7 linked regions of the Ovis aries genome follow. The protein of the gene in region 6 interacts with the protein of the main gene of each other region in a pairwise test. Links are inferred from orthologs where the notes say so. Each region holds a gene or a part of one and is shown on either strand. Other genes may lie near its edges.

Region 1 (4,300 bases), on a different chromosome or scaffold from region 6:
ATTTTCCACAGTTCATTGTGATCCACACAGTCAAAGGCTTTGGCATAGTCAATAAAGCAGAAGTAGATATTTTTCTAGAACTGTCTTGCTTTTTCTATGATCCAGCAGATGTTGGCAATTTGATCTCTGGTTCCTCTGCCTTTTCTAAATCCAGCTTGAACATCTGGGGGTTCACGGTTCACGTATTGTTGAAGTCTGGCTTGGAGAATTTTGACTATTACTTCGTTAGCGTGTGAGATGAGTGCAATGGTGCGGTAGTTTGAGCATTCTTTGGCATTGCCTTCCTTTGGGCTTGGAATGAAAACTGATCTTTTCCAGTCCTGTGGCCACTACTGGGTTTTCCAAATTTGCTGGCATATTGAGTATAGAACTTTCATAGCATTATCTTTTAGGATTTGAAATAGTTCAACTGGAATGCCATCACCTCCACTATTTTGTTCATAGTGATGATTTCACACTCCAGGATGTCTGGCTCTAGGTGAGTGATCACACCATCATGATTATCTGGGTCATGAAGATCTTTTTTGTACAGTTCTTCTGTGTATGCTTGCCACCTCTTCTTAATGTCTTCTGCTTCTGTTAGGTCCCTACCATTTCTGTCCTTTATTGAGCCCGTCTTTGCATGAAATGTTCCCTTGGTATGTCTAATTTTCTTGAAGAGATCTCTGGTCTTTCGCATTCTGTTGTTTTCCTCTATATCTTTGCACTGATCAAGTGGTTAAAGGCAACACCAGAGCAGTTAGGTTTAAAACACATATGCGGTCACCAGGAGTGAATGGTTTTCTTCTACTATCAGGACGAATTGCTTCAGACACCTGGTTTCTGTTTTGAGTGGTTGGTTTAATTGGTTTACTGTGGCGAGGGCAGGGGTGCAGCCAGAGCCGGAAGACCCAGAGCTCAGTCTGAGGCCTGGGAGCCTCCTGTGAGGAGGCTGTTTCCCTCAAGCATGGGGGCAGGAGAAAATAAGAGGGGATGGAAGACTTGGCTGACTCAAACACGCTGTGTAGATGATAAGATCACACAAGGGAAAACCTTGAGATGGTCGCAGGCAGGGGGACGTTCTTCAAAATTTTGTTAAAGCAGCTGTCGAGGTTCTGAGGTTTGGCTCTGTCTGCTTCCCCATCTGCCGTCTTCCAGACTGCCCGTGCGCATGCCGTCTGCTCTTGGCACCAGGTTTGGGAAACCCTGCACCCACGGAGCCAGCCACAGGCACCCAAAATCTGTATTTGTTTCTAAAAAGCACCTTCCAGTGCTCCTCAGACGCTGAAACAAACACTGTCAATCCGGAGGCCGATAAAACTCAGTATCACAGAAACCCAGGGGGAGCAATCACACACACCCTATCACCTTGACCCCTCTTGAATCACGCTCCCCGCAGACCACAGCGCATCAGCCAGCCCAGGCAACAGGGTGCAGGCGCCCTTGCTTCTATCATATTGAGAGCTGAGCAGCACTTCCTGGGCCCCAGGCTTCATCAGCACGTCGGTGGTACTGCTTCCTGTGGCTGACTATCTGTTTCCATTCTGGCAAAGTGTTTGCTCTCTTCTCTCTGCTTTGGGGGTTTGGGGGAGGATGAACTTCTCAAGGAGCCCGTCTCTGCCCTCTTGGCCGTCTCCCCCTCGGAGCCCCGCACGTCCCCGCCACAAGGCAGAGCGTCTGGCGTCCCCCTGAGCCGAGCTGGGGAGCTCCACACCCAGAAGCGCTCTCCCCTCTTGCAGTCAGCATCGCAGCCACAACCAGGTAGAGCCAAACTTGCTGTTTTGTATTTTGGGTCAAGTCAGCCTGACATTTCAGGGATAGACGCAAGGTAGAGTTGGTTGTGGGAGAGAAAGTTCTAGAAAGAAAGACTGGAAGCTTTAGAAAGGGAGAAGTAAAAACCAATAGACTTTTTGTGATGGATTTTGATAAAGATTTAAGAAGATGAAAATTTGAGAGTCGAGTTGTATGTCAAGGAAGGTTCAGAAAATGGAGACCAGGAGGATTTCTGTCATTCTTCTTTACTAAAAAAAAATGCTTATACTAGATGGGATTATATGTAAAAGACAAACCAATTCTGCCTTTTCTCTTGAGAGTCAGCAGTTTAGGAAGAGACAGGAAAAGTGGCAAGCTGACTGGCAAGCTGATGACGACTAAGAGAAGGCCTAGGAGGAGAAGCTGAAGCCAGAGAGGGTCGCAGAATAATGGATGCCACCACGTCAGCACAGTCGGAGCCCGCAGGGAGAACCTCAGAGCCCAGCACTCTGCGGGGAACCCTCGGCAGCCTGAACAAGTGAGTGCCAGGGGCGGTGAGCGCTCCCCTCCCCTGATTTAGAAAGAGGGTCCTGGTCTATCCTGGGGAGCTTCTACCCCAGCAGCCTTGCCACCCCTCACCAGGCTCTCGTTTCCTAAGACCGCTAAACTCTTGGCTCAGAGAGGTTTGCTCAGAACTGCTGGGAGGAAAGGAATAGGTATTGCGAACAGAAAGGAGTTGTTGGGAAGAGAGGAAATATGATAACACACCACTTCCTTAGAGCTGGCTTCCTGGCATGGCTGGGTTTCTCATGCTCAGAGGCCCGCATGGCGGTCCTTGAGCTTTCCTTTTTCAAGTCCCACGGATCACTCCTCAAAGAAACAGAAGCAAAAACCAGTTTCTACTCTGATGGAAACAAACGGCCCACTTTTTACACAGATGTGCTTTTACGTCCTAAACACTTGCCATGAATGAAAATGGAATCACAGATATGATAAAGACACAGCCTTGGATCATAAAACCCCACAGCATTAATCATAGATGTAAATCTTACAGTTAAAACCTTCAATATTATATTAACAAAAAGTCCATCAATACTTGAAACTTTGACACTGAGAGGTATTGATTTCAGTGCAGTGATAAAAGCACAGCTCAACAGCAATAAATTAAAAATCACTGTAGTTTGGGGAGGTAAATGTCATTACCATGATAAACAAATACCTGTCCCCTGCAGGTGGACAAGGTCGTTGATGGGGAAGGAATTCATAAAGTGTCAGAATCCTGCAGCACTCCTCCAATACTATTTCTACATCCATTCATTTGATAATTTATTCATTCATTCATTTAACAAATATCCATCAGGTTCCTACTGAGTGCCAAGCACGGTGGCAGGCACAAGGTGAATAGGACAGACAAGGACAGCCTCCTGGAGGTTACAGTTAAGTGGGAGGGTCAGATACAAACAGATGAACAAAAGCATGGCTAGCATAACATCAGTCAGTCGTAAGCTATGAAGAAAAACCAGGGCAGAGTAAGGGGACTGGAGGACCCAGGAGGGTGTGACTAGGGAGGACCTATCTGAGGAGGTGACATTTCAGAAGAGTCCTAAATTAAATGAGGGGATTGAACTGCGGGAGAGGGAGCAGCGAGACTGAGACAAGACTGTGCTTTGCTGGAAGCAGCATGGAGTCCTGGTCATCAAGGTCAGAGGAAAATAGTAGGAAAGGAGGTCAGAGGCAGGCAAAGGCAGAAGAGAAGAGGCCGTCACATTCTCACCTGTTAGGGACAATGGATGCTATCCCACGTGTGATGAGAAGTCATGGGGGGTTGCAGAGGGGGCACGTGATCTGATTTAACCGTTCAGAGGATCACTCTAGCTCCTGTGTGAACATAGTATGTTGGGGCCAAGAGTGAAAGCAAGGAGCTCATTAGAGAGGTTCTGGCAAAGGTCTGTGTGGAACTAGTGGTGGCTCAGACCGAGGTGGTGGCAATGGAGGAGCAAGAGGTGATGCTTTGGGGTACATGTCCCGGTTGAGCAGATAGAAACTGCTGGTTAACTAGCAGTGGGGTGTGAAAAAGAAAACATTCAAGAATGGCTCCAAGGGTTTTGACCAAGCCATCAGATGACAGGAAACACCAGAGGAACAGGCTTATGGGGGGTGGGGGAGAACAGGAGTTCTGTTTTAAACATTTTTGGTTTGAGATGTCTATTAGGTTACTACATGGAAATGTCCGGTATGAAACTGGGTGAACAAGTCTAGAACTCATAAGGACAAAAACCTTCCCTGATGGATGACCTGGTTTCTAGCATTTGGAGGGGCAAGTCTGCTAGTGATGCACTCTGTAACCTCAACTGGCTGCTTCCTATAGCCAAAACAGAGCTAGCCTGGCCCTGCCCAGGAATTGCGAACAGCCCGGTCCTTACCCAGCGCATCTGCATGGTCAAATTCCACAGCAGAGCAGAGTGTTGCTTGAAGACCAGCCCCACAAGCTGATGCTACAGGGATTATTAAATGCAAGCAACCTGGACTCTTGTCCCAGAGCTGCTGCTTAATTGTAAGTGGATAATCT
Region 2 (3,381 bases), on a different chromosome or scaffold from region 6:
TGCTTTTTTATAAGTTGAAGGCAATTATGTAAGACGTTAAAAATATAAGATTTTTCCATGAGACTTAAAAGATTCACATAAATGCACGGGAAAAGACTTACAGAACACACAGCAAATTAAGTGTAAAGTCACCTCCTGCGGGGGACAAAAATGGGCCCATGTATTTCTTCTCTGCATATTTTTTAAAGAACACCAATAATATGCTTATTTGTGATTTAACATTTTTTAAATGAGAAAAATAGAAGAGAGGGATGGATGAGTTCTTAATATGCTGATGTATGGCTAAGAACACCTTGTGGTTTTCAGGTGCAGATTTAGCGGTTATTAGCGAAGAGATAGGAGAAGGGAATGGCAACGCACTCCAGTACTCTTGCCTGGCAAATCCCATGGACGGAGGAGCCTGGTAGTCTGCAGTCCATGGGGTCACACAGAGTCGGACACGACTGAAGCGACTTAGCAGCAGCAGCGCAGAGATAAACTTAGTTAAAACCTTGGAGCAGAAGCGACTGCCTGGGGATGGAGGTAAGAGGAGCGGCAGAAAGAGGAGAGCGAGAAAGGAGAGGGGCGAGAGGGGAGGAAGATTAAGGGGTCTTCAGTTCAGTTCAGTCGCTCAGTGGTGTCCGACTCTTTGCGACCCCTGGACTGCAGCACGCCAGGCCTCCCTGTCCATCATCAACTCCCGGAGTTTACTCGAACTCATGTCCATTGAGTCGGTGATGCCATCCAACCATCTCATCCTCTGTCGTCCCCTTCTCCTCTCGCCCTCAATCTTTCCCACCTTCTGTAAGGGGTCTTACAGAAGGCATATAGAGTATTTTCAAGTTTATAGCCTCATAAGCAGCAGAACGGTTAGGTAAGGTGCCAAGCAATGCACAGCCCTAGGTCTGAAATTCGAACGCACGGAGCGCAGACCACCGAGCACTGGGAATGTCCCCCAGAGGGCGATGGGGGGCACTCAGTTCAGTTCAGTCGCTCAGTCGTGTCCTACTCTTTGCGACTCCATGAATCGCAGCACGCCAGGCTCCCCTGTCGATAACCAGAGCCGCGCTCTGAGCAGGAGGCGGTGTTTGGGGGTCGCGCACACGCACGAGGTCACGCAAGCGCACGGCGCTTGCGCAAGCGCACAACCGCACGCCCGCGTATATCCGAGCTTGTGGAAAACGAACGAATTGTGGGGAGGTTGCGCTGCTTGCACTATGTCTGAAATGAACGAGCTGTCCGAGCTCTATGAGGAGAGCAACGATCTGCAGATGGATGTGATTCCTGGTGAGAGTGACCTTCCGCATATGGAGGTAGGCGGCGGGAGCCGGGAGCTATCCCCGAACCCCTCCCGCGCCGGGGCCCCGCCACAACTGGAGGAGGAAGGCCCAATGGAGGAGGAGGCGACCCAGCCAATGGCGGAGCCACAGGGGCCCCGAGGCCTCGCTAGCCGGCCCAGCCCTGGGGAGCAGCCAGGCCAGATCGCGGGCCCTGATTTCGAGAGCGAGGACGAGGGCGAGGAATTCGATGTCTGGGAGGACGACTATGACTATCCTGAAGAGGAGCCGCTCAGTGGTGCGGGCTACAGAGTTTCAGCGGCCCTTGAAGAAGCCAACAAGATGTTTCTGAGAACCTCCAGAGCCAGAGAAGCAGCTCTGGATGGCGGGTTTCAGATGCATTATGAGAAGACCCCGTTTGATCAATTGGCTTTTATCGAAGAGCTTTTTTCACTTATGGTTGTCAATCGTCTGACCGAAGAACTCGGCTGTGATGAGATCATTGACAGAGAGTAGTTAAATGCTGTTAAGAGAGGAGGAAGCTGCTTGAGGAGAGACCCAACATTCCACTGTCTTTTGAGTTCATTCCAAATAGTTCTGTGCCAATGAAAAACTTAATCTTCCCCCCCCAAAAAAAATTTTTTTTTTTTTGCTGAGTAGAATAAGGTAGTGACTGCACAGTTATGAAAAAGAAAGAAAATTGTTAAAGAAGAGTATCTTAGTACTGTTGAAACCTGTTTTCAAGAATGTCCAGAGACACTTATGGCTTTGACTTTGTTGTTTATTCAGAGTAATTTCCTTGCATTGAGGAAGATAATCTTTTCATGTTTCACTGTAAGGAATGGCTTTGCAAGAATAAATTATGACCAAGACAGACTGCCAGTACCAGAGCCCACTGATGATAATTATATGAGAAAAAGTAACTGATGTATCCATTTTAGGACATAAGATGTCTTTGAGTTATTTGGACTGAAAGCATATTGAGAAAACTTTAAAGATTCAATTTTGTGATCTATCCGAGCTGTGGTTAAGGCTAAATTTTAAGTGTAAAATAAATCTACCGAGTATTCTTCAGTATCTCAAAGGATAATCTAGACCCAAAAGAAGTATGTGTCTTGTGTGCTATTAAAATGTGTTTCCAAGAACAACTGAGATTTTGTTTGTACATATATCTTGATCATTTTTAAAGCTACTGTAATCTTTAATTCAAGAAAATTCATTGCCTTGAACATATTTTAAAGTCAAAACTTAAGACGTCCTTAATAAAGTTTCAAATTTAGACTGTAAAATGTACATGAAGGTACAAAGAACACAAACTCTTGAAACATCTGTATATACTAGAGAATTTTCTGTTTCACTTGCTCTCTTTTTTTCATTTAACTTTACAGGCAAAAGACTCTGGTTGAACTTCATAATGTAAGAACTGTTAAATGAACATTGTCCAGTAAAAGGAAAGCCCTACATCTAAAAAAAGACACTATGAACAACCCTTGAAAGTTTTAAAGGGTTTTCTACCCAGAAATCCACCTCACTATCTGAAGTTTCCCTCTGTCTCCTCCTCTAATTAAGCTTGCTTTTGGTTATGCACCAGCATTCAAGATAATAAAGATTTCTTGTTCTCTGTATTTTATTTGTTTGTCTAATTGTATAATACTTTCTCTAATTCTACTTTTTATTTGCTATACTGTTTGATTGTGTGATTGCAACCATTTTATGATTTAAATTTAATGACTTATATAAGGGAAAGTGCTCCAGCTTCAAATACCGGATTACAAATTAATTGGTGTAAATTAAACTTAGTAAATTCCTATAAGAGAATTTGCCAAGCTGGGAAAACCTGCCAAATCAGTAAGCATCTCATGGTGGTTAGTAAGATGCTGAAGTTCTATGAATAATATAATTAGAAGGCTGTGCCCAGTGAAACTGAGTATACCAGCATGTCTTAAGATTAGTAAAAATGTACCAGATGTTTTTGCTGCATTATGGCAGTAAAGGATACATCCACTATAATAGGACAACTCAGAGCCTTACTTATGTTGCGGTCATCCTGTCTTTTAGGGAAGGGGGTTCTTTTCTGTATAATACAGGGCTGACAAGGATGATCATAATTCAGACAAAGCTTGGC
Region 3 (3,934 bases), on a different chromosome or scaffold from region 6:
GTGTTCCCTGGAAGAAGTGATATTTATATGGGGCCTAGGGATCTCATTCTTGACTGCGTCTTAGTGTTTTTTTTTCCCCTGATGGGTCAGTCCCCACCAGATGGCAGGCAAGTTCATAGAAATCATCAAGCCTTTTGCATCTCTGCCCTTAGTGCTGGCACAGAGCCTGGCATAGAGGAGGGGACAGTACTGCTCAAATCAGCTGATCTGAGCAATGAGAAATGGCTGATGGAGAGGTCCCAGGGCCTCCGGATTAAATGCATTTTCATGCTCAGCATACTCACCTCCTCCCTTTGTGAGATCTAACATGGAATTAATAGTGAAAATTCCACATCATGTTGTAAATGCTTGTACCTGTTTCTCTCTTCCCTTTTTCACTAAACTGTGAGTTCCTTAGCGCCAAGAGTCAAGAATGGGGCTTAGAGCCGGCTCTCAAAACGTTTGTTGAACGAGTGAATCAGTTCACGCAGAAGTTGTGCATAGGGTACTGGAGTTTCCAGCTATAGGAGGGCTTGTAGAAAAGCCCAGAGCTGTATTGGTCCAGATATCCCTCCCCGTTTTCTGACAGCTCCCTTTTGCTTGGGCTCTGGGTGAGAGGAATAGGGTGGGCACACGATTTGAAAGTGAACGGCTTTGGTGACGGAAGTTGAGGGAGAAGTGGCCGGAGCTTGGAGGTGGGCCTGAGAACCGAGAAGAGAGGAGGGGCAGTTTCTAGAGATCTGGCCGAGAGTGTCGGGGCCACAGGTGAGAGTTATCGGGGTCACGTGGGGTCTGCTGACGTTGAGATATGCTTAATGGACATTCTGTCCTCAACTTACAGGCATCGGCCAGATGGGGGTGCGTCGGGGAGGGGGTGGGGCCACCACTCCTCGGACAGGGGCCGTCCCCTCTGAGGGCGGGGAGTGCGAACGCGCCTGGCACCGCCCCGACAAAGCCTGCGCGCGCCCCGACCCCCGATTGGTCGTGCTCCCTCGCGCCGCCGCCCCGTCCCGCCCTCCGCCGCCGGACCGGCGCGCTGCAGCCAATGGGTGACGTCGCCGTCGCCTCCGTCACAGTCCGGGCAGCCAATGGTGGTAGCGCTCGGCGGCTCGTGGCTCTTTCGCGGCAAAAAGGATTTGGCGCGTAAAAGTGGCCGGGACTTTGCAGGCAGCGGCGGCCGGGGGCGGAGCGGGATCCGGAGCGGGATCTAGCCCTCGCCTCGGCCTGCCGCCATGGGCCCGCGCCGCCGCCGCCGACTGCCACCCGGGCCGCGCGGGCCGTGAGCGCCATGGCCGTGGCCGGGGCCCCCGCGGGCGGCCCTTGCGCGCCGGCGCTGGAGGCCTTGCTCGGGGCCGGCGCGCTGCGGCTGCTCGACTCCTCGCAGATCGTCATCATCTCCACCGCGCAGGACGCCAGCGCCCCGCCGGCCCCCGCCGGCCCCGCCGCACCGGCCGCCGGCCCCCGGGACCCTGACCTGCTGCTCTTCGCCACGCCGCAGGCGCCCCGGCCCACACCCAGCGCGCCGCGCCCCGCGCTCGGCCGCCCGCCGGTACGGACATCAGGGACACTGGGCTGAGTGCGCTGCCTTGGACCCCTGCGCAGACCCGGGCGGGGCGCAATGTTTGGCCCGGCGGCAGCGGGGGCGGGGGAGGGTGGGCTGAGGCGTCCAGGCTGGGCGGTGCCGAGCCTGGGTTGGGCCTCGGGGCTCCGCCCTGGGGTGCGGGGTGACCTCGGGCCAGTCCTTGTTTGCTGCTCTGTGCTGTGGGCCTCAGCTTCCTCGCCGGAGCAGACTCAATGATAATAATGGTCCACGTGTATTCAGCTGTCGCTGACTGCATGCCAGGCCTTTGGCTGACTTCAAGGCAGCTAAAACTCACATCCATGCTGTGAGCTCGGTGTTGTCACTGTGCCCATCTGAACTGTGCCCAGAGACGGGAAGTGGCTTGCCCCCTGGTCACAAGGCTGCAAGTGGGATTTAAACTGAGGCCTTCTGGCTTCAGACCATAACTTGTGGCTGGGTGGTGGGCATGGCTGCTTGGGGAGGTCAAAGTGGGGTGTTCTGGGACCAGTCCGTAGAAGAGCCATTGAGGAGACCCTCCTTCCTGCCTCTGGGACTGCCAGGTGCAGGCCTGGCCCTCCGGGCCTCTGGGGACAGGCTGCCTGGCTGGGAGGCCTTCTCTGCAGGGGCGGGGGTAACTGGGCCAGCTGCTGATCCCCTCCCTCTGCCTGTCCTTCCATCTGCCACCCTCCACCCTCCCAGGCCCTGGTTGCCATGGAACCTCATTAATCAGGCAGGCAGACCCCCGGGCCCCAGTGGAAGTCCTGGGTGGGCTAGGCCTCTGGGAGCTGGTGAGGAGGCCCCCAGTACCAGGAGAGAGTAAATGCCCCAGGGATATCCCTTGATAAAGTGCTCCCTGCACAGCGAGAGGCTAAAGACAGTTGAGACTAGGGGGCCCAGAGAGGTGTCTGAATTAGGAGGTGGGGGGAAGGAGGGGGCGGAGGCCTAGAGCTTGGTCCTGTGGGCTGCAGGACAGGGCGTGGAGACCAGTTTGACTGGTGCAGCCTGTGGGTAAAGTTAGGGCATGGATGGGCAGGCAGGATGGGGTCTCAGCACAGTTGGCTGAGCAAGTTGAGGCAGGGAGGCAGGGCCCAGGGCAAGGAGGTGGAAGCCCAGCTGCTGATGGAGGCCTGGGTAGCAGCTGGTCCCTGAGACATCCCAACAAGGTTCCCCCGACCCCTTTGGCCCCCTGCCCAGTACATCCTTCCTTCCGGAATCACTGAGATGCTAATAATAACAATAGGAGGCACCATTGTTTTGAGACTGTTTTGTGAGTTAGGCCATGTGCCAAGCACTTTACCCAATTAACTCATTTAACCCTGTCAACAGCTTTCCCGTTTTACAGATAGGGAAGCTGAGGCTTAGAGATGTTAGAACCTTCCCTGGTGAGTCAGCTCATGAGTGGTGGGACCAGACCAGATTTCCTGAGTGGTTAACTGCTGGCATGCCTTACTTCCTGGAGATGCTAATAGAGATTGTAGGAAGCCCAGGGTCCCTTCCTCCAAATGAGTGAGAGGGAGGGAAGTTGCACAGGGTGGGTCCCCTGATTGGTCTCCTATACCCCAGCAACCTGTCCCTGCAGGTACCAGCTTGGAGCCTGATCGAGTAGCCTCCATTTAGCTGATGGACAGGTGCTTAGGCCCAGGTCCTGCCCTTGGGCAATGGAGCTTCAGGCTTAGAGGGACAGCCAGGGACTGGGATCAGGAAGTTTGCCCTCTGCTCCACACCCAGGGTGTCAGGGGCAGCCTCACTGGGTCTGAGCATTCCATTCATTCAGCAGTTGTTAGTGAGTGCCTCTGAGGTTCTAGGCACAGGCACGTAAAGAGCCTCTGCCGTCACAGTACTTAAGGGCTAGTACGTGTTTTCTGCCGTGAGCAGGAGTAGGGCCCAGTACCACCTTGCTGCTGTAGTTCAGAAACATGGGCCCAGCTTTTGCTGTGCAACACCTCCTAACATTGTACCTGTGAGTAGCCACTGGCTATCTGAGCTGTGGCCTCCACTCACCCTCTGCACTAGCATTTGTTTGGGGGCAGTCCTTGAAACAAGCTACAGGCTCAGCTTCTGCACAAGTGAGCATTCATTGAGTACCTCCTGCCTACAAGGCTCTGTGCAATTCAACCATTCCTCCTGGCTCTTCCGGTCCACATCTCCCCTGTTGTCATGGCTCTTAAAAAACAAACTGGATGTAATGCATATTTACTATGGAAGAGATGCGAAAGTTGAGGGGGACAAGATCCCCAGCCCCATCCATTTTTTCTTTTTTCTCTTCCTGTGTTCCGATAGCACATCATCCCCACTTTAGAGACAAGGCAGCAATTCCTCATGGTCCTCACCCTGATACCAAGGTTACTCTTGAAATGGATTCTATAATAATACAAACTGAAGCAGAGAAAGTGG
Region 4 (4,132 bases), on a different chromosome or scaffold from region 6:
CTTTCAGGTGAACAAGGAAGGGATTCAGCCATATGTATGTACATGTATCCACTCTTTCCCAAACCCCGCTCCCCTCCAGGCTGTCACATAACATTAAGTAGAGTTTCATGTGCTACACAGTAGGTCCCTGTTGTAAACCTCCAATCTTTTAAACCACGAAAACTAAGTAATGTTTTAAAGACAAATTCTTACACTTAGCATTCCAGGCCCCATTCTCCTCGCTGTCTGCCACTTCTCAACATGCCCTAGAATGTTACCATTTGCTTTTTCTTAACATTACTTTCACTAATTCACCTTCACATATGTTCTCATGTTATCTCTTCTTGTTGTAAAACCATCCCTATCTCCTTCAAGGTCAATCCCAAATGCCTTTTCCTCCTTACTGCCTTTCTTTCCTCATTCCCAGAGAGGTCTGAGCAGTTCCCTGATATTCTGCAGTACTCTGTATTTTTCTCGTGGCACCTATCATGATTTATCTTTTAGTATAACTGTTTTATCCCTTATTCTGAAGGCAAGGATAACATCTTCAACTTCCCTCTGTAACTCTGCAGCGTCTTACCTATGGGGGCATCTACTATTAGTTGAAATCAAAGTGATTTAGGAAGATAACGTGTGCCACGGTAAGCAGCAGAGAATACGAAGTCAGGACAGTTGGGTTCCTGCTATGCCATTTATTAGACGTGAGGCTTTGGCTAAGTCGCTTAACTTGGCTTGGACAACGGGAATCCTACTACTTGATGGAACACTAAGGGAGATAACTCTACAGAAAACTAATCCATGTTCGTTATTTTCCTTGCAGAGAGTGGATGCAGCCTTTCTATTCAAATCTTGTTTGCAGGACCATCCCTACTTAACCGACCGGAGGTCGGGCCCCCGAAAGGCTGGGAATTCGGGCCCCCATGTTCCCCGGGCCTCCTTCCACGGCAGGGCTCTCAGTTCTCCGCGATGCAGGTGAAGCCGCCGACCTGCGGGGGAGCGGCCTGGAGTCCTATTCTCTCGGGAGACCTCCCTCCTTCCCACTCACTCCGGGAAAGCTCTCCCCTTCCCGGTAACCCAGAAGACCGCGGCGCCGCCGCCTACGTGAGACGTTTGGACCCTGCCCGGCCCCCGTAGCTCCCCTTCTCCAGCAGGTGGTTCTGGTCCTTTCCCCCAACTCTGGGCGCTCACGTCACCGGCGAACCTCTACCCACGCGCCAGCGCCGCAACCAACCGAGAAAATAAACAAACCCCAGCGCGCGGCGGCGGGCGCGCCAGGTCCCTCCCCTGCTCCGCCCCGCGGCTCTCACGCCGCCCCCTCAGCCGGGACTTCCCTCCCGCCCTCGGCTCACGGCCGCGCTCTCTCCGCCCCTCACCGCGGCCCGCAGCCGCGCTCCCTGCCGCCGTCCGCCCGGCGCGACGCCCCGGGGGCCCGTTAGTGCTCGGCGCCCGCTCGCGGGGCCGCCGCGCGACCCCTGCTCGGTGCGAGCCCGCCCCTGCCCCCGACACTTGACCCAGCGCAGTCCCAACGCCCAGTGCGGCCGCCCCGGGAGCCGCGGAGCGGCGGCGGCGGCGGCGGGGGGAGGAGGGAGAGGACGACCGGGCCGGCGGCCGGGGAGGCCCGGTGAGTACGCGGAGGGCGGGCCGCCTCACGGGGGGTCAGCTCCGGCGCCCCTGAGGCAGTGGTGGCGGCCCGGCCGCGCCGCTCCGGGCGCCCCGGCTCGGCAGTTGGGGACTCGGCTTGAGGCGACGGGCCCCGCTGGCCGGAGCCACTGGGCAGAGTGCGCGGGAGGGCCGCTCCTCAGGAAGGCCCTAGGCGCCCAGCTCGGGGGCGGCGGAGAGAGACCCGCGCCGACCCCAGGCCCGGGCGCACCGCCGGTGCCTGCGCCTCCCGAGACCCCGCGGGGGCCGGGCCAGGGGGCGACCGCGGTCGCGGGGCCGCCGAGTGACAGGTGCCGCCGCCCCCTCCCCGCCGCGGGCTTCGCTCTCCCTCCCGGGAAGCCGGGCGCTCAGAAATTTCTGGAGCAACGACCCGACTCGCTGTTTTTCTCCGTTGCAGGTTTTGAAACCGCTTCTTTGCCAGAGTTCGGTCTCTCCCAGCCCTGTTTCTTTCTCGTTTGTACTTTGCGAGAGTAAGTTTGGAAGCATCGGTTAACAGCCTATGGGTGAAATTTGGCTTTCGTTCATGCATGAGGTATAGTAAATTACTTCTTGAATAAAGTGCTCCTCCTTCTCCCGCTAGCTGTTGAAAACAGAGAAGAGTTTTGAATTTTTTTTTTTTTGCAGTTACTGTTTGTAATAAGCAGTCTTCCAGAAATTTTGTCATCTCTAACACTTAGGGGTTTTGGTCGATATTGAACAGTAAATGGCTTATTAAATTGTGTTTTCTCTCCAACTTCTTTTAGATTTTTCATTTTTAACTTTACCTAGAGTCTCCAACTGAGTAAGTGCTATGGCTTTCCTTAGAAGCAGTAATGAGAAAAATCGTCTTTCCTCTACTGGACAGCCACGGAAATATTCTCTACACTTTTCATTATTGTCTGCTTCTTTACATAGTAAACGTGCTTGTAAGTGTAACCTGAATCGTGAGTTTAATAAATTCGACTTGCCGGCTATACGAATATTAAACTTCGTGGCAATTAAAAATATAAAAAATCTGTAGAAATACAGAATTTTTTTTTCTCAACAAGTTCATAACACATAAGCTCGCATTAGTCAGATCCTGATTAATGGAAGATGATGTCCTACTTGTTAACAACAAACTTAGCTATAAGACATCAATCAGGTGGCTTCACTCTATAAAGAGTGAAGAATTCAGAATTGAGCAGGAAGAGATCATTGGGACTAATGAAAATACGTGTGCTTTATTCATGGGAGAATCCCATAGTTCCTCACTCAGTACCTGCGTGGACTTTTTGCTTAGGTGTTTCAATCCACAGAAATTAGATGCTTCAGGTTAGAGACGGGAGACAGTATTGAACTATGAAGGAAAAAAATGTCTGTATTAAGTTCGTTGAAAGCAAAGTTTGGGTATGTTCCTGGCACTTACTGGTTGTGAACCTTAGTTTATACGACGCCAAAATGAAAGATATTGTGTAGTTGCCTTATTTGAGGAACAGAACATGAAAAAAATACAATAAAAAATTTTCACCAGATATTAAGTCACTCATACTCAGTGCCATTTCATTTTATGGCTTTTGTTTTTTAAAACTAAGCTACTTTTCAATGAGACCACACTGTATTCATTTCTTTTTTCACCAGGCTTACTGGTTGGTTATGTTAGTGGAAGATCACTATTGTTTTTATAAAAAGGTATATCTTTGGTTGTTCTTGATTGACGAGCGTATACATATATCAGTTTTGAAGTGCCCTAATTATGGTTCCCTGGACTGAAGGATGGCTACTGCTACCATCTTTCTTGACCCTAGAATGATCATAGTCAAGAAGAATAATATCATAGTGGCACTTTTTCTCAGAACTTTGGTAGAGGAACCCAAGAGGCTCAGCCATTTATGAAACCTGCTTCTTGAAGTTTAGGCTATTCATTTAAAAAACGTATTTACTTAAGCTCCTGGTGTATTCTAGTTCTTTTAAATTAATGCTTTAAAACCAGTTCTGTTTCCTGAATAAATATACCTTCTAAACGAAATTAGTTGTGATGATGAGTTAGTAGAATGGCACTTGGAACTTTGAACTGCTAATAACCACTGTTAACTCACATTTGCATTTTGGGAATTGAGGATTATCTCTAGTGCACTTTGCATTTTGCTACATTCTATTTTAGAGCAGGTCTTTGAATGTGTAGATACCTGTGTACTTGGGGAACGTAAATATTTTTTAAAAAACCAAATTCAATAAACATATCTTTTGTGTGCCAGGTCCTGTGATTTTGTTGGGGATGGAAAGAAGAGGCCCTTGCCTTTCAGGATGTTGAAATCACGATTATAAAGAGCTGGGCACAATAAACATAATTTTAATTAAATCTATCCAGTAATAAAAGTAAATAAAAAGTACAGAAATATTGCAGGGGAGGAAACGATTAAACAGGCAGGTTAGAAGAAGCATTTTAGAGATGCTAGCACCTGAGCAAGAGTTTGAGGAACAAATTCTGGGTAGGCCAAAAAGTTCCTTTAGGTTTTTCTGTAAGATCTTATGG
Region 5 (3,500 bases), on a different chromosome or scaffold from region 6:
CACTGAAGTGGGTTGCCATTTCCTTCTCCAATGCATGAAAGTGAAAAGTGAAAGTGAAGTCGCTCAGTCGTGTCTGACTCTTCACGACCCCATGGACTGCAGCCCACCAGGCTCCTGTCCATAAGATTTTCCAGGCCAGAGTGGGGTGCCATTGCCTTCTCTGTTAGGATCTTACTAGCATTCTTTTAATCAACTAGTTAAGCAGAATTGCCCAGTCTTACCTAAGAGGTCTTTAACGTAAAGTGTTAAGACAAAACAGTAAAGTAGTATCTGGTTATCTTACATTAAAAATACTTAATTGCTAATGCAAAGCAAAAGAACATGGGGAATGAGCACTTCGCTTTCTCCAGCAGGAGGAAGGGGGCCGTTGTGTTCACATGCCTAGAACATGTGAAGGAGTCTATGGAATGGCACGCTTCGATAGTCTGGATGATGTGAACCTGCATTATCCCAGAGTGGTTAACTTCCATTGTAAAGCTGAGAAGACAGATCTATCTGCTGGACACTTAAGGGCGTAGCAGACAGTGCTCTAAGGGCGTTTCGATGTGGGATATTACTTACTTAAGCAAGTGAGGTACTTTTCTGCTTGCAAGTAAGCCTCCTGAAGTTCAGAGGACACTGGCAGTATCAAGAGGTAGGCAGACTTACAATACAAGCCAGGCTTTTGGAAGCCAGGCTTTTGGGTAATTTACAGACTTATCAGATGATACTCAGCTAATCATTCAAACCAGTGGAAGGCCATGGCGCAAGTAACTCTAACAGGTAGTCTGGGATTTTTCACCTGGCTCTCAGCACTGTAGCGTATGTTTTGTTTGCATTAGGATCAGTTTTAGAATGTTATTCAGCACACACTAAACAGCTTCCAGTGTCTGACCTCAGGAGAATTACTGCAGATCGGTGTGCTCTAATTAAGTCAACAAGAACTCACACCATTATCTGTTAGATGTTATCCTCAGAGACCGTATAATTCAGCTTAGAGAAATCTATAAAACAGAAAATAATCTCAGACCATCATCTTCCAATTAAGGGCTAAATATTGTGAGAGACCAAAAATGCTAGAGGGTTTTATTGTCACATGTAAGCATTACTGTTAGGAACTGACAGAGTAAATCTAGACCATCGTTTCACCACGTATTTTTTCTGCAGCCGATAGACGTTTTTATATTGCCCACTCAGTTTCTTTTTCTCCCCTCCCTGCCACCGCCCCGCCCCCCACACACACACAATCTTTTTCTCTCTCTGTTCATCTTGAACACCTTTCAGAAGCAGCTGCTTTGAAACCCTTGTCATCTTGAATGTAGCCTCCAGTGTGAATGGGGCACCTTTTACTGATTCTTCTTGTGTATCATCTTGTATTTTTAGCAACCAGAATGGTGGGGAATGACAAAGAGCCAGCGACAGACCTTTCCTCACCTCGAATAGTGGGTTTCCACCAACTCTGTCTTAACGTTCTTCAGGCCACAAAGACATGGCTTTTCCACTGGAGTTTTAGCTCCCTTGCCAATGTATTTGACTGGGGCCTGCTCTAGGTTGAGCACTATTATTTCTTAAAAAGGTGACTCAACCTCTTACCATTCCATTCTTCCAGGTGTCTATAATCCCTTGAAAAACGCTGCTTTTGTTCATTCTTCATAAACTAGAAATACAGATATGATTAAAAGACCTGAAGGCACTAGTTTATCTGCAGAAATGGTACTAAGATCAAAACTAGCTCCTTCAAGTTACTGAAGGCTTGAGAGCTTATCGATTTACCTCCTGTGGTGGTCCTGTGTGTCCACCAGAGGGCAGGAGCAGCAAGGCTGCTCTGCTGCAAGAAAGCTCTGCTGCAGCCACCTGAAAACATCCCAGTACAGCCGTTGGGTTTCATGGCCTCGCTTTCTGTGGATGAGTGTTTCTGTGCATTGCACAGATTTTACTGAGTTGTGGGTCCAGCCCCTTCAAGCTAAATGCCAGTGTGGGAGAGCTGGTAAGAAATTGCACGGGAAGTTACGCGAGGAGTTATGTAGTCCTCATGGCACCTGGCCGTGTCAGGAGAGCAGGATGGGGTGGGGACCTTGAGCCGGACGCGTGAGCAGCCTGTGTGTTGGGCTTGTGGGGTCAGGTGGAATGACGGGGGTGCAGATTTTGTTTGGGGAGGAGTCCCTTGGGTTAAAAGAAACGTGGGAAGATGTGGCATTTACAGCAACACAGACACAAGTCCTGAAGGGCCTCAGCCTGGCTGGGGTCTTCAGGAAGAGGACGACAGGGGATTCTGGTCACAGTCCTGTCCGAATTGAGAGGAGGGTCGTCTGGGGAGGTGCTCTGTAGACTTGGTGACCAGATAAGGCTGGGGAAAAATCATTTTAGGGTGGGGACTAGAGTCTAGAACCTCTAGAACCTGACACGTTTTGAAAAGCCAGTGTCCCAGAGACCCTGGTTAAGAACCCCCGGCTTGGGCGGTTCTTTGAGGACCTGCTCAGAAGCTCGGGAACAGGGGGCCACGGCCCCTGGGTGTGGGTCAGTCCTGTGGGAGGCCGGCTGTGGGGAGCTGGGCTCCGGCCAGCCTCACTCTCTGCGTCTTGTCATCTGGGGTCGGGCTTCATCTCTTCACTTTCTCCAGACACCTTCCGGCTTCTTGGGCATCTCTTCAGCTTGGGATAACTTTGGACCACAGATTTCATTTCAGTAAGGAATGTGGATTGTCTGTCTGGTTTTGAGTTTCAGGAGCAGGATTTTTAACAGAGATCTGTAGCTAGAAGCTGAAGATGGGGAAAGTTTAACTTTCCGACTATATTTTGTAGGCGCGCAGGGGTCTGTGGCCCAGAGTGAAGAAGCCCTGCTCTGGAGGGTGGGACCAAGGGAAATCAGTATGAGACCCGTAACGCAGCTGCCGAGGTCCAGGCTCCCGTGTTCACCTTGACATGACTGCTGGCTGGGAGGACGGGGAGCTTGCCCAGGTGGAGCCAGTGCTGGGACCCTGGGCTGAGATGAGTGGCCCAGCTTCAGAGTCTTGGCCGAACGGGGCTCCCCGGGTGCGTGAGACTCCGCAGGAGGCTGTGCAGCGTGGTGAACCACCAGTCCAGCGTGGAGATCGGCTTCCAGCGTCTCTGAGCCTCCCTGTCAGCGGAGGAGTGGTTCATCTGCATCCAGGTTTTGACATTATCCTCTTCTGCTTTTCAGGAAAAAAGCTTGTAAATACTTTGAGCAAGGCAAAGGGACCTGTCCATTTGGAAACAAATGCCTTTACCGTCATGCTTACCCTGACGGGCGGCTGGCAGAGCCTGAGAAACCACGGAAACAGCTCAGCTCCGAAGGCACCGTGCGGGTGAGGACTCTGCCCACATGTGGGCATTGCTGGGGCCACTCCTGGCCTCTTCAGGGCGTTGGCCACAGGGATGCCAGTGGAGTCTCAGCGACTCTGCTTTCGCATTGCGGTTAGCAATAACCAAGCATGTCTGCTGGCTGTCTTTGCAGTTCCTTAACTCCGTGCGGCTCTGGGATTTCATCGAAAACCGAGAGAG
Region 6 (3,422 bases):
TGTGCCCAATTTTTTTTTTTAAAGGATGCACCTCTGGGACTGTCAACTTTGTTTTTGTTGACAGTCTCAAACAAAACTGCAGATTTGGTTTCTAAATTTGAAAACTGATATACAACCACCAATTGTTACATCTCAAATCAATTGTTATCTGGGAAAATTTTGGGGATCTAGGTTAATTTAAAAAAGAAAAAAAAAGTATCTTGGGAGGGATTTGCATGTGATACTATTCAGTATCTGTGGAAGATGGGGATGTTGTGCTCTAAGAAGGTGAAGTTTCCACAGGAAGAAAAGCGGAGGTTGAAACAGTCATAAAGAAAAGGAAGGTCCTGGAAAAACAGGCGGAAAGACATCCTATGAGTCTATGCTAATATAATCTTTGTGTGAGGGGATTCTAATGAAACAAAATTTACATCAAAATTATCCAATGGAATAGAAAAACCAAAATCAATGACCATTAAAACACTAACAAAGTCATTATTATATTGCCTTCAAGAGAACTTCGATCACACTCGGATTGACAACATTCTGCATTTCTTGTTCAAAACTCTTCCATACGGTAGGAAATCAATGAATTTTTGTTGTTATTCTTCAGAATTCCAATTTGTCCAATTAGTTCTCCTGGTGGCTCAGAGGGTAAACTGTCTGTCTGCACCGCGGGAGACCTGGGTTCAATCCCCTGGAGAAGGAAATGTCAACTCACTCCAATATTTTTGCCTGGAAAAGCCCATGGACATAGGAGCCTGGTAGGCTACGCCCATGGGATCGCAAAGAGTCGGACATGACTAAGCGACTTCTCTTTTTCAGAGTTGACATATTTTCTTGGGCAATCCTGGCTGTTCTCTCAGTTTAAATTCTCACACTGATCTGAAACCTAGTTGACACACCAGCCTAGTTCTTACTCTTGGATTGATCTCTAACTTGATTTTGGATATACCTAATCAAATGCTTCCTAAGAAAGTTCAGTTTCAGCATTTCAGAAGCTTAAATTGCCATCTGTCCCTTAAACTGACTCCTTGTCCAGTGCTCACCCATCTCCCTCCCCTCCTCCTCAAGAACTCCTCCTTAGCCATAACAGGATACCTGGGGAGGGGGTGTGATCACTGAGGCCCATATTCTAGCGGACCCTCTATGCTTACTGGGGGCCTCCTAGCCCCCTCCTGCAGCCCACCAGGAGCCCCGCCCGCCAACTCGACTGCCGGGCCCCAGGCGCGCGGACGCGCAGGCGCATTGGCCCGGCCCGCCGCCGCCCCGCCCTGCCTGGCCTCTGCGGAAGGCGCCGCGCGCAGCAATGCGCACTTCCTCTCCAGGAGTCCGCGGAGGGAAAGCAGACTCGAAGAGCTCTCGGACTCGGCGGCCCTGCTCTTGCGAGACCGAACAGATATGTCCGAACAAAGTAAGGATGTGTGCGACCCCAACTTTGCGGCCGAGGCCTCCAACTCCGAGGTGCACGGCAGCCCCGGCATTACCGGGGGGCCCTCTCCTCCGGGGTCTCAGGCCGCGACACTCACTGAGCCAGAGCGCCCTCCCTTAAGCCCGCCTGATGCCCCTCTGGTCTCGCTGCCTTCCCAGGCTCCAGGCGAAGAGGGAGACCCGAAGGCCCTGCAGCAGGCCGCTGACGAAGGCCGTCCCCACCAGGCCCCGAGCACAAGTCAGCTCAGCCCGGCGCCCCCGGCCCCGGCCCAGCTGGTGCAGAAGGCACACGAGCTCATGTGGTACGTGCTGGTCAAGGACCAGAAGAGGATGATCATCTGGTTCCCAGACATGGTGAAGGATGTCATCGGCAGTTACAAGAAGTGGTGCAGAAGCATCCTTCGGCGCACCAGCCTCATCCTCGCACGCGTGTTCGGGCTGCACCTGAGGCTGACCAGCCTGCACACCATGGAGTTTTCGCTGGTCAAAGCTCTGGAGCCAGAGGAGTTGGACAGGGTCGCTCTGAGCAACCGCATGCCGATGACGGGCCTCCTGCTGATGATCCTGAGCCTCATTTACGTGAAGGGTCGCGGCGCTCGAGAGAGTGCAGTCTGGAACGTGCTGCGCATCTTGGGGCTGAGGCCTTGGAAGAAACACTCCACCTTCGGAGACGTGAGAAAGCTTATCACCGAGGAGTTCGTCCAGCAGAACTACCTGAAGTACCAGCGCGTCCCCCATGTCGAGCCCCCTGAGTACGAGTTCTTCTGGGGCTCCCGTGCCAGCCGCGAAATCACCAAGATGCAGATCATGGAGTTCCTGGCCAGGGTCTTTAAGAAAAACCCCCAGGCCTGGCCTTCCCGCTACAGGGAGGCTCTGGAAGAGGCTAGAGCCCTGCGGGAGGCCCACCCCACTGCCCACTGCCCCCGCAACAGTGTCTCCGAGGACTAGCAAGGTCTGGAGGCAGATGGAAGTTTTCTGCCCCTCACCAGGGTGGAGGAAGGGTGGGAGTGTGGGACGTTAGAGTATTCAGGATCTACAGTGCAGTATTTCACGTGTAACTTTTAAGTTTTCCATACAGTGCTTTTATACCTCTTAATGCAATGTTGTGTTCATTTCAGTAATATTAGTGTATAGGATTCATGCATGGTTGTTTGTAATTAAGCTCAGTTGGTGCTTTCGCTTTTGTGCTACCTTTCTTGAATTTTTTGTACCAGAGACATGCTAAACTTATGAAATACACTGAGGCATTTTCCATATTCTTTTACGTGTGACGGAGGCTGTGTATTGGGGTAAATTGGTCTTGCAGAGTTTGGAAAAACTCCCCAGAAAAGCTGGCCTAACCAAGAGAAAAGTTGACCCCTGTCTTTGTGCTCTGCCTGGGCACGGGAAACATCCCTGTGGAGTTTGGTGATGTGAACTGAAACAGACTCAATGTGGGCACACTTTACTAAACACAGATACAACCTCACCATGAGTAAACTTTAAACATTAAAGATTCTTGTGATACAGTCATTCATGGAAAAAGTGTACTTTATCTTCTTAACAGAATATTATGGGTTTGGAATGGGAATTACAAAGTATACAGATATAACTATTTCATCTAATAGGACGGGGATGTCAGTACTCATCATGACTCATAAATATGTAAAGGGCATAGTTTTATTTTCAGGAAGGAATTCACAAGTTCATATCAAAGCTTTGACAAGTAGAAGTGCAAAAACCAAAACAGGGGTCATAATCACATTATATAGAAATAACAAATGCTGATATTTAGAGTAATTGCCCCTCTTACATTTTCCATATTTTCTAAAAAATAATAGCTGTCTTTTGTGGGCACTAAGAGAGGCCTTGTACTAAACCCTTACATATATTTTCTCTCTTTAATCCTCACAATAGCCTTGTGAAGCAGGCACCGTGGAGGAAATACAGAAATAAAGCAGATAATTAGCTTTCCCTGGATCATAAAGGCTTCCTGGGAGGAGAGGCTTAGTTTTAGGGTTTGGACCCAGACT
Region 7 (4,239 bases), on a different chromosome or scaffold from region 6:
ACCACACTGAAGTCTGCTGAGTCATGAATATTAAATCAGCAGCAAGGTCAGATTCAGTAAGTATATGGCACTGAAAGTTAAGAAAGATTACTGAATTTAAGGATGTTTTGTTGTTCAAATGAGACAAGGAGCAGAAAATGCTAAAGTGGCCAAAATACAAACTCCATATTACCTGGCTTTTAGTTGAACTCCAAATTCTATTCTCTGATTCAAAGCATCCTATCTTTGATTCACTGAATCAAGTCTATCACTGCCATATAGCCCACAGGAGAAAAGAGAAAGATTCAGAGACAGACTTTCTACTTGACACTTATATGTGGAAAGGGAAACATGCCCCTTCCCAGCAGTCTCACACGGTTAATTCAAACTGGATACTGATCTTTCCCATGCTTCCTGGAACAAAAGCAAACATTATATCTTGATCTCAGACTCAATTTAAGAAGCACTTTCTTGGGGCTGGGAAGGACCCTGATGAAGGACAGGATATTGTGGGAAATTAGGTTAAAATCTTATGAGAAAGGGTATTTCAACAAAGGTAAGCAAGCCTGAGGGAAAAGGATATAAGAGACAAATGTACTCTATCAGAATCAGAAAGGAATTAAGAGACTTTGCCAAAGAAAACAAATGGTATGGAGGCATGCTAGAGAAAAAAGTCCCATGAGTTAGGAAAGTATGTAGAAAAAGAATGAAAGAAGGGGTAAATTGGGAGCTTCCTTCTTCCATGTTAGCTGGGTCATGGAATAGGTAGTTTTGGGGGATTATGCAGAAATACTAGGATAAAAAGCCACAGACTTAAATTGAGAAATTAAGACAGATGAGGTTACGCATAGGCAATGAAGAATATAAAGAAATCTGGTGAGGGGAAGTCAGGCAGGAATGAATAGGCATTTAGAGTGGGTCAAAGATGACCACTGAACTTATCAATTGAAGCTGGGGCAGAAACCTACTCCAAGGGCTAATATGAGACCCTTTCCAGTTATAGCAAGATACGACTTCACAGGGAAGGAAAGTCATTTCCAAGATACCAAGGTGGAGAGGTCCACTACGGGAGGAAAGGCTTGAGGGGAAGTGGAGGAAAGGGGGCTCTTGTCCTCACAAATAATGGATGAGGGCAAAATGAGAGAACAAGTCAGGAAGCAGGAAAGTCTCTGAGACAATCCCAGGCATAAAGCACAAAGCGGTTCAAACTAACAACATAACAACAGTGGCAAAAGAAAAATTCCTGAGAGGCAAGAGGGGTCTCCCTCTAGCTTAATATAAATGAATGGGGAAAAAAGTGTCCTAAAAAATAGATTCAGGGGACTTCCCTGGCAGTCCAGTGGGTAAGACTCTGCATTCCCAATGCAGGGGGCATGGGTTTGATTCCTGGTTCAGAAACTAAGATCCTGAATGCTGCACAGCCAAATAAATGAATATTAAAAATGTAAAGACAGTCCTCTTCTCCTTTAAAAAAAATAAATAAATAGACTATTGGGTTTCCAAATTGGGCAGGTTGACCAAAAGTCTTCTAGAAGTGGAAATCCTTAAGAAAAAGATAAACAGAAGTAATCCTCATGAGATCTCATTTTAGATAGAGAGTAGGAGTATGAAGCTCACACTCCTCAAAATGAAGAAACTATATGAATGATTTGAATGTATGAGGTCAACGTGAGATGACAAATACAAAACCATCCTCCAGTAGAAGAGCAGACCAACTAGCCTTGGAAATAAAGGGGTGGGGTGAGAGAGACTTGTGAAAAGATGCCACCTTATGGCTAGGAGGCAACTAGACTGATACAGCCCAGAGTTCCTGAGGTCAAAGATACTAAATGTCATAAACAGCTTCTGACCGTTTCTCCTTGGTGTGGGAACAGAAATATAAGATGAAAGTGGAGTGAGTCTTTCAGAGCCAGTAGGCAGAGGCCTCTCCGAGGAAGATGAAAGGATCTAATATGGGACGGCTTTCCCAAGGGGGTAATAGGGGAGAATAAAGAGAATTCTCCATGTGCTTGGACTGTGGGGAAGAGGTGATTAAGATCCAAGGTATGCCTTCTATTAGGAGACAGGAAAAGTCAATAAGACGCTAGGGTAAATGGGGTCTCTCCTGGGGGCTGCGGGGGCGCTGATCCAAGCACAATAATGCCCTGATGTTCATTCCCAGAGATGCGGGTAAAAGCAGGTGTAACAGAGGGGCCAAAAATAAGGGGTTAACTTCCAGAAGTCTCCCCCAAGGAGGGCCGCGGGTGGGATCGTGGGTCCAAGGTTCTAAGGGTCAGGGCTAGCTCCAGAACCTCGATCCCACCCCACTCTTCCCCGTTCTGGCTGGAGGGAGGGGGCTGAAGACCGCGTCCCTGGCCGGCGCGCCGCCTCACCTTGTAGAAGGCCCCGTTGGAGCCGCGCACCTCGACGGGCAGTCCCGGCTCCACATCCCCCCCCGAAGCCAGGCCGCCCATGGCGCCGCCACCGCCTCCGACTCCCCCGGCGGCGGCTGCAGCAGCGCTCTGAGTACGGGCCGGGCCAGGTCCCCGGCGTCTCCCTGGAGGAGGAGCTGGAGGGGGAGCCGCGGGGGGCGGGAGCCGGGCCGGCCCCACGGCGGCCCTGCCACAGCCAACGAGCAGGGGGCCGGGGCCGGGCCGCTCCCCGTCCGCCGCCGCCGCCTTGGTCTCCGCCACCGTGAGGAAAACGGCCGCCGCCGCCGCTGCCTTCGTCACCTCAGCTTCCGCCCGCCGCCGCCCCCGCTGCAGCCTCAGTCCCGGGACCCACTGCTGCCGCTGCCTCTACACGGCCTCCTCCTCCCTCTGCCGCCGCCGCCACCTACTGCGCAGACGCACCGGGCACCCGCCCGCCGCGCGCGGGCCCCGAGGGCCACGGCGCACGCGTCAAGGCTGGCGACCCAGCTCTCGCTGGCCAGCGCAGCAGGGCTTCCACACTCCTCTTGCCTCTCTCACGCCCCCTCCTGGTCGCTGATTTACGCTTGCGCAGAACCAAACTGACTCTCTTTCTTCGCCACCCCACCATTCCACCGCCCAGTCTCTGCCTTTCCCCGCCCCACAACACAGAGAGCTAACCAATCATGGGGAGGGAGGGGCCGAGCTCACTCAATCGGATTGGGCTTCTGATGCTCCTTGGTCAGGCCACACCCACTTCACGGCTGTGCGCTCCACCAGGCTTGGAGAAGTTAGGGACGGGCATGCGCCTGAATGATTGCTTGGTCACTTTCTCCACCTTTGTCTTTTTGGTGCGCACGCTCCGGGGCGGGAGGCGGGGGGAGGGCGCGGGAAGGAGGAGTCGAAAAGCAAAAATGGGCCTAGTGCGCGTGCTCTGGGCCTTACAGTCCACATGCCGGTATGGACTCTTTTGAGTGTTTCTGTTTCTGCGCGTTAAGATTTAAATTAAGAGTCACCTTCTTGCCTTGAGAAGATTCTGATCCTGCATATGATGAAAGGTTAAAGAAAGATTTCAAGACACTACCGAAAGGCAAATGCAATTTGGCACAAGATTATTATCTAAATGCTGAGAGATTTCAAAATGGGAAAAATTGTTAGAGAAAGGATAGTTGAGGGGAAGCTTAGGATTCATAAACTAAGTAAGAAATTTAAGTAGAAGTGAATAAAATAGCCAAGAAATTAGGATCATGTGTGTGCAGCTAATCATTTAGCCAATATTTATTTAGCCCTCACTGTGTTCCAGTTACCCAAAACAAGGATTTTATGATATATTGGAAATGGCGCAGACAATCACATTTAAGTAAATAAAGTGATTAGAGTTCATCTGAAGATGTGTTAAAGATGAGGACTAGGATAGAGGGAATCCCAAAGACACAAACAATGGTCAGTTGCCCTTCAGCATGATAGGGAAAGACCACTACAGGTGAGGTAATGCAAATTGAGATTTGAGGGATAAGTAGGCGTTTGCTAGAGGAAAAATGCAGTAAAACTATTTTTGAGAGAACAAGGAATAAACAGTGCAGAGGAGCAGAAAAAAACAAAACATGTCCTTTGGGGAACCACAACTAGTTCAAATAGCATTTGGCTTGAAGTAGGGAAGCTAAACTGTGAAGCACTTATAAATCAGGTTAAGGAGAATGGCCTTCACTTTATCAATACTACGGAGTCACTGAAAGATTTTAAGCTGTAGTGTAAGTGCAGTGGCTCAGCGGTAAAGGGTCTGCCTGCAATGTAGGAGCCGCAGAAGACACCGGTTCAATCCCTGGATCAGGAAGATCTCCTGGAGATGGGAATGGCAGCCCACTCCAGTATT

What was found.
Region 1: the proteins of NDN (region 6) and LAX1 interact in a two-hybrid assay, tested with the Homo sapiens proteins (2 studies listed by BioGRID and IntAct). The link is inferred for Ovis aries from reciprocal best matches to the Homo sapiens genes NDN and LAX1.
Region 2: the proteins of NDN (region 6) and EID1 interact in binary tests that used the Homo sapiens proteins (3 or more experiments, as listed by UniProt). The link is inferred for Ovis aries from reciprocal best matches to the Homo sapiens genes NDN and EID1.
Region 3: the proteins of NDN (region 6) and E2F1 interact in a two-hybrid assay, tested with the Homo sapiens proteins (2 studies listed by BioGRID). The link is inferred for Ovis aries from reciprocal best matches to the Homo sapiens genes NDN and E2F1.
Region 4: the proteins of NDN (region 6) and GKAP1 interact in a two-hybrid assay, tested with the Homo sapiens proteins (2 studies listed by BioGRID and IntAct). The link is inferred for Ovis aries from reciprocal best matches to the Homo sapiens genes NDN and GKAP1.
Region 5: the proteins of NDN (region 6) and MKRN2 interact in a two-hybrid assay, tested with the Homo sapiens proteins (2 studies listed by BioGRID and IntAct). The link is inferred for Ovis aries from reciprocal best matches to the Homo sapiens genes NDN and MKRN2.
Region 7: the proteins of NDN (region 6) and FXR2 interact in a two-hybrid assay, tested with the Homo sapiens proteins (2 studies listed by BioGRID and IntAct). The link is inferred for Ovis aries from reciprocal best matches to the Homo sapiens genes NDN and FXR2.

Annotation. Positions count from the first base shown.
Region 1 is NC_056065.1:1,326,322-1,330,621, forward strand, and holds the start of LAX1 (lymphocyte transmembrane adapter 1), read left to right. Parts: upstream 1-1,500; 5' UTR 1,501-1,740; intron 1,741-2,070; exon of another isoform or gene 2,071-2,076; 5' UTR 2,077-2,180; coding exon 2,181-2,269; intron 2,270-4,300. UniProt on the Homo sapiens protein: Negatively regulates TCR (T-cell antigen receptor)-mediated signaling in T-cells and BCR (B-cell antigen receptor)-mediated signaling in B-cells.
Region 2 is NC_056060.1:59,480,019-59,483,399, reverse strand, and holds EID1 (EP300-interacting inhibitor of differentiation 1), read left to right. Parts: upstream 1-1,153; 5' UTR 1,154-1,196; coding exon 1,197-1,772; 3' UTR 1,773-2,881; downstream 2,882-3,381. UniProt on the Homo sapiens protein: Interacts with RB1 and EP300 and acts as a repressor of MYOD1 transactivation. Inhibits EP300 and CBP histone acetyltransferase activity.
Region 3 is NC_056066.1:63,140,864-63,144,797, reverse strand, and holds the start of E2F1 (transcription factor E2F1), read left to right. Parts: upstream 1-1,134; 5' UTR 1,135-1,267; coding exon 1,268-1,528; intron 1,529-3,934. UniProt on the Homo sapiens protein: Transcription activator that binds DNA cooperatively with DP proteins through the E2 recognition site, 5'-TTTC[CG]CGC-3' found in the promoter region of a number of genes whose products are involved in cell cycle regulation or in DNA replication.
Region 4 is NC_056055.1:35,911,045-35,915,176, forward strand, and holds the start of GKAP1 (G kinase-anchoring protein 1), read left to right. Parts: upstream 1-1,332; 5' UTR 1,333-1,458; intron 1,459-1,510; exon of another isoform or gene 1,511-1,600; intron 1,601-2,035; 5' UTR 2,036-2,170; intron 2,171-4,132. UniProt on the Homo sapiens protein: Regulates insulin-dependent IRS1 tyrosine phosphorylation in adipocytes by modulating the availability of IRS1 to IR tyrosine kinase. Its association with IRS1 is required for insulin-induced translocation of SLC2A4 to the cell membrane.
Region 5 is NC_056072.1:56,485,697-56,489,196, reverse strand, and holds part of MKRN2 (E3 ubiquitin-protein ligase makorin-2), read left to right. Parts: intron 1-3,159; coding exon 3,160-3,304; intron 3,305-3,453; coding exon 3,454-3,500. UniProt on the Homo sapiens protein: E3 ubiquitin ligase catalyzing the covalent attachment of ubiquitin moieties onto substrate proteins.
Region 6 is NC_056071.1:620,230-623,651, reverse strand, and holds NDN (necdin), read left to right. Parts: upstream 1-1,292; 5' UTR 1,293-1,380; coding exon 1,381-2,358; 3' UTR 2,359-2,922; downstream 2,923-3,422. UniProt on the Homo sapiens protein: Growth suppressor that facilitates the entry of the cell into cell cycle arrest.
Region 7 is NC_056064.1:27,152,552-27,156,790, forward strand, and holds the start of FXR2 (RNA-binding protein FXR2), read right to left. Parts: upstream 2,801-4,239; 5' UTR 2,433-2,800; coding exon 2,352-2,432; intron 1-2,351. UniProt on the Homo sapiens protein: mRNA-binding protein that acts as a regulator of mRNAs translation and/or stability, and which is required for adult hippocampal neurogenesis. Specifically binds to AU-rich elements (AREs) in the 3'-UTR of target mRNAs.